2 linked regions of the Macaca fascicularis genome follow. The protein of the gene in region 2 binds, or shares a complex with, the protein of the main gene of each other region. Links are inferred from orthologs where the notes say so. Each region holds a gene or a part of one and is shown on either strand. Other genes may lie near its edges.

Evidence for each region. Proteins that work in one complex are often made in the same cells at the same time.
Region 1: CEP290 (region 2) and TMEM67 share a complex: the UniProt entries of both Homo sapiens proteins name them as parts of the tectonic-like complex. The link is inferred for Macaca fascicularis from reciprocal best matches to the Homo sapiens genes CEP290 and TMEM67.

Annotation. Positions count from the first base shown.
Region 1 is NC_088382.1:103,464,435-103,466,953, reverse strand, and holds part of TMEM67 (meckelin), read right to left. Parts: intron 591-2,519; coding exon 448-590; intron 1-447. UniProt on the Homo sapiens protein: Required for ciliary structure and function. Part of the tectonic-like complex which is required for tissue-specific ciliogenesis and may regulate ciliary membrane composition.
Region 2 is NC_088385.1:94,984,810-94,988,468, forward strand, and holds part of CEP290 (centrosomal protein of 290 kDa), read right to left. Parts: intron 3,532-3,659; coding exon 3,437-3,531; intron 291-3,436; coding exon 211-290; intron 7-210; exon of another isoform or gene 1-6. UniProt on the Homo sapiens protein: Involved in early and late steps in cilia formation. Its association with CCP110 is required for inhibition of primary cilia formation by CCP110.

The DNA.
Region 1 (2,519 bases), on a different chromosome or scaffold from region 2:
GTTGCTTTTCATCTACACTGGTAGACGAGGTGTCAAAGCTGCAGGCTAAAGGGGGCTTCCCTTTGGTGCTGAGCCCTGAGCTAGCTCTCCAGTGCCTGTTTTTTTGTTACTTAACATCTGGTGGAGAGGGTGGATGGGACTCTAATTACTGTTCACTTGTAGCATCTAGGAGACTAGTAGTTAAATGTCTTCCTATAGGATTCCTCTTCCATGTATAATCAAGCAACTGATGCCCTCCACTAGACCTCAGTATTTCATTGACCCTAAAGGACAGAGTACAGTTGTTTGAAATGTTATTCCTCCTTTTGGTGGGGTTAGTCATATTCTAAACCTTTACAAAATTGTAGTAAAAGTAGACATTGTTACTCTCTGCTATGAAAATATCTACTTCTAACATATTTCTCTCAAGAAAATGAAGGGAAATGTAGAAAAATTTTTAAAATTTACCTCTTGTTGTAGATATGTAAGGAAGGATGCTAAAATAAAATTTTGGCAAGCCAAATCCACAACACAGAAGAACAGCAGATCAAAAATAAGAAGGGTAGCTTCATTTCCATAATACAGGACACTGCTGAAAGAATAACCTTCATCTATTAAAAAAGTTTAGAAAATATAAATTAGAAATTTAAAAAAGGAACAAGTCTGTGATAAATTTCTGGTGACAAAATCTGGATATTTAAAAATAGCACATTAGAAACATACTATATACAATAATTCATGGCTTACACAAAAATAAACAAAATAATTAAATTAAAAATAAACAAAAATTTTAAGATTTGCTCATCTAAAAGAGGTTAGTTAAAAAACTCATAACACCTCCTATAAAGCAGTTTTAACATTAGGACCAATGGTTGGTAACTGCTAGTAGTGTAAGTTTCAAAGACCAGTTAATAAATAGCCTTTCTCTATTTCTTTATGTAACTAAAAGCTAAATTAATCTTACAAACATTCCCTAAGATAGAGTATATTAGAGAAAAAACCCAGCAAGGCACAGAATAGTACACAGTGTTCAAGAGTTCAATAATTTATTTCAAATAGTCCCCTTAAGGTTTTGCTCTAAGTTCTCTTCTCACTCCACCAGCGGGTTTCATCCTTATTGGGATGTGAACACCCTTTTAAAAAGATTATGATGAGGCCGGGCACAGTGTCTCATGCCTGTAATTCCAGCACTCTGGGAGGCTGAGGCAGGAGGACTGCTTGAGGCCAGGAGTTCAAGACCAGCCTAGGCAACATAGTGAGACTCCATCTCTACCAAAAAAAAAGAAAAAGGATCTGGTGGTGCACACCTGTAGTCTTAGCTATTTGGGAGACTGAGATGGGAGGAGTGCATGAACCCAGGAGTCTGAGGTTATAGCGAGCTATTAATATGATTGCACCACTGCACTCTAGCCTGGGCAACAGAGCAAAAACCTGTCTCTAAACAAACAAACAAACAAACAAAAAACTACAAAAGCCTGATGAAAGCTAAAGACCCTTCCACCAGGAAAAAAAAAAACAAAAAAAAACCATACATATACAAGTCTTGCCAACAATTTCAGGGAAATCCAGAAAACCACTGAAGCAGCCCGGGGATACCCAGTTAGGAACATCTGCTTTATACAAGGGGGCATCTGGAGTGCTGGTAATGTTCTCTCTTGAAAGGGTACTAGTTACAGGGGTATATTCAGTTTGTGAAAATTCACTGACCTATAAGTTATATCCTTACAAAATATGCACATTATACTTGCATATATAATCTTAAAAATAAACCTGTTTTACATACTGTCTCTTGGTGATTTTCTACTAACACTGCTCCAGCAATGACTTCATATGATAGCAACTCCTCAATTTATTGTGTGCTTCTACTTTCTCCTACGACCTGGTCCCTTATATTTAATGCCTACTGGATACCTCTTCCTAGATGTCCTAAAGTACCTCAAGATGCAACATACTGAAAACTAAATTCATCCTCTTTCCCTCAAAACCTGGTCCTCCTTCTGTATTGCCTCTGTTATTGAAAGGCACCACCACCCACTTAGTCACACAGCCAGAAGTCTGGATAATTTTTGACTAGTCTTTTCCCTTAACATTTCTGGCAATCCTTTCTTCTCTAGCCCCACTGCTACTGCCTTAGCTCATAGTCTCATCAGCTCTTGATGAAGACGAAGATAGTGAGGCCAGGAGCGGTGGCTCACACCTGCAATCCCACTTTGGGAGGCTGAGGTGGGCAGGTCACTTGAGGTCAGGAGTTCGAGGCCAGCCTGGCCAATATGGTGAAACTCCATCTTTACCAAAAACACAAAAATTAGCCAGGTGTGGTGGCAGGCACCTGTAATTCCAGCTACTCGAGTAGCTGAGGCAGGAGAATTGCTTGAACCTGGGAGGCGGAGGTTGCAGTGAGCCAAGATTGCGCCACTGCACTCCAGCCTGGACAACAGAGCGAAACTCCATCTCCAAAAAAAAAAAAAAAAAGAAGAAGATAGAGAGATGGAAGAATACAGTTAGAAAGAGGAGGAAGAGGAAGGAAGACTGAAGGAGAA
Region 2 (3,659 bases):
ATCCTATGTTGAGTCTGAATTTTTTGTTAGCTCTTATTTAATAAATATATTAGGACTAGTCAGATGAACATAATTAACTTTGCAATATAAAGGTCAAATATAAGATGCTATTACATGAATTTTTTAGGATACGTACTGAAAACTCGAAGATGGTAATGAACATAGTTTTCAACAGCTATTTTCACAAAATGATACTAAAATACACATTACCTTCAAATGCTGCTTTTCTAGATCTGACATGTTGAGCTGTGTCTCTAGATCTTTTACTTTTTCCTTTAGTTGATCAGCATCTGTCAAAAAAGTTATACAAGTTAAACTCAGCTTTTTCCCACTACGAATGAGTTCAAAGTAATGACTTTGTTCTAGAGAACAGAGATTTGTTTTACGAAACCTAGAACTAGGAAAATACTGGATTTTATGGCTGAAATACTTAAGGATGTAAACACTTGATGCTACCTCCCTCCATTAAGTATTGTAATTTCATAGCAGGCAAAAAGAGGTTATTTGCTAGGTATTAGAAATATAGGCCAAGTTGTTTTTTTTTTTTTTTTTTTTTTTTCACATGATAGAAATTTTACACGGAAAAAATCTTAAAGCCAGGAAAACTTGTTAGGTACTAAAACTACAACAGAAGAAAAGCAGACTGTTGGGTAAGGGGCTATAACCATAAGCTGGCCAAATGCTCCCGCTATCCAACACAGCATTGGCTATTCCACGTGGGTTATTACATGTTTACTGCGCAATTACTACGTGCAAAATGTGTCATGCAAGCTGTGTAATACAAAAATAAGACATAGATAGCCCTGATACTTTGGTAGGAAAACAAAAGTCTACAAATACAGCACAAAAGTTATTTATTGGATTTACCCTGCAAGTTAACATACCTCTAACTTTATCAGCAGGCAAATACGATTTTTGCTTTAATGCTATCTTTGCTAGATACCTCTTTTCTTTACATTACACTACATTTAATGAGTCAAGTCATATTTTACAGCCATTGAAGAATAAAATTCTAAAAGTTTGATAAGGTGCAGCAAACATTTTCATGGCTGGGACAAGTATCCTTTTTTCTTTTTGAGACAGTCTCACTCTGTCGCCCAGGCTAGAGTGTAATGGCGCAATCTTGGCTCACTGCAACAATCACTGCCTCCCAGGCTAAAGCGATTCTCCTGCGTTAGCCTCCTTTGTAGCTGGGATTACAGGCAAGCACCACCACGCCTGGCTAATTTTTATATTTTTAGTAGAGACAGGTTTCACCATGTTGGCCAGAGTGGTCTCGAACTCCTGATCTCAGGTGATCCGCCCGCTTCAGCCTCCCAAAGTGCTGGGATTACAGGTGTGTGCTACTGTGCTGGGCCTGGGACAAGTATCTTAAAAGTTATCTTACCACTTATATAGAAAGTGATTTAGAGTTTCCAAAACAGTTCTGGTTTGATTTTAAGCCTTAATCTTAGAAAAATGACAGGTAATCTGTCTACTTCACATCAGAGATAAGGAATTTTGAAGGCTCAGAAATTTCCTTAAGAAACAGGTTTAGAAAGATTAGAGAACTATGGCCATATGACCCTTAATGCACACGCACCTGATCTCTGATCTCAGAAGCTAAGCACTATTGGCCCTGGTTAGTATATGGATGGAAGGAAAATTATAAAATTGTCTAGTACAAACCAAGCAGGCTGCTATAAGGCATATTTTGAGAGTATTTAGTAGGTACTTTTAGTTACCAAGACGTAGCACAGTATAGTGGTTAAGGGCTAGGAATGCCAAGGAGCTGTGGAGTTTCATAGATTTAGATTTTAATCCTGCTATTTCCTAGCTGACCTTGGGGAATGGTTACTTAACCACTTTGAATCTGTTTATCACATAAAATGGAGACAGTAATACCTATCATATATGGGTGTAAATATAGAATGCTTGTAAGGCAGTTAGCATAGTGTCAAGTACAACTCACACATGATGGCTTTTATTACAAATTAGTAATAGGACTACATACCATATTGAAAAAGCTACAAGAAATAGTCAAAGATAGTTCAGATATAAATTGGTATAATCCTTTGCAGAGGATGGCATTTCTATCATACTATCAAACAATGGCATAATAAGGTCAAGAGATTAATCATATTTTATAAAAGCAGAAACTTGGAAGCAAACTATCCACCAAAACATAAATGGTTCAATATGCTTATACATGCAATAATACACTATAGAATTATTAAATGGATGAGACAGATTTATGAACAGACCTCACAAGATGTCCAGGATAAACTGTTAAAGGCAAATACGCTAGACATGTGTATAGTATGAGTTCAATTTTATGTCACTTGCCAAGAAAATATATATATGTATATGCAAACAAAGTCTATTCTCTATCCACAGTAGTTTTAGTCTATAAAGTTAGCCCAATTAGTGAATATCAAACCACTGCTGCTAGGGGAAATATGTACAGACATACATATACATACATACACCTACATATCTCACACATGATAATCTTAAATCCTAAAGATAACTCATCCTGGTAAATTCTATTTATTTACATAAGAAAAGGTTCAGAAGCGTTCGTGACTCTCCTAAGCCTAAAGCACTAACAAGCCTCAGAATTGGGATTCAAATCCCTTCCAACAGGCCCCAGAGCCACAGCTTCTTGCACTATGCTGTGCTGCCCTCTACCGTCTCCATCCTTTGATCATTTCTCTATGAAAACTGAAATGACGATACTGAGCACCGCCTTGTTGAACCTCTGCTGGGGACATGTAGGTTGGATTATTCAAACTTTCCAAGGCTCTGTGGATGTCTGCAAATGTGCTGCGAGTGTTGATTTGGGGATTACATACACGCCTTAGTGAGCAGGTGATTTAGAAAATACAGAATCCACAAATAATGAGGATCTATTATACATATGAACACATAAACACATGTATGCATATGTGTGATATATATGTACATAAAATATGTGTGTATGTATATGTAGGAATGAGGAATGATTAGTAATCACTTTTGAATGGGAATGGAAGGCAGCAGAAACATACTTTCTTTTTACTTTGTAAAAGGAAAAAAATGTAGGCAGTATTTACTTATTTGCAGTTTTTAAAAATGTTCAGAGGACTTGAAAGAGCCTATACTTAGAAACTGGAAGCAACAGATTTAGTATTCATTGCTTAGCCCTGCATTGTGATTAAATCTGTAACACCCAGATGGAGAACAAAGAGAAAAACACTTGGGTACTTGCTACTCTATAGTATAAACAACACAAAGAGAAAAATGGGAATATTTTTATATTAATAGCATGGAGGAGAGACAAGAGATCCAAAACTTATCAGGAATTTGATTTTACACTGAGACAATGATCAGAAATCTGAGCCAAAAGAACAAAAAAAAAGGTAAACCCAAATTCAAAAACCTGGGGGTAGCTAACATGTTTTTTAAAATATATTACCAGGTATGGTGCTTTCAGCTCCACTTTGGTCCTTGTTAGCTTCTATCTGATGGATTAATTCTGCTTTCTCTTTATCCAGCTGACTATTAGCTAATCTAGAACACAATGATAATTTGTTAAAAAAAAAAGAAGGCAGGTATTGCTTCATAAAATATATGGGCATTTCTTATGAACTAGTGATGCACAGTAATCAGAACAAACTAGTCTTTATCAAAGTAAACAT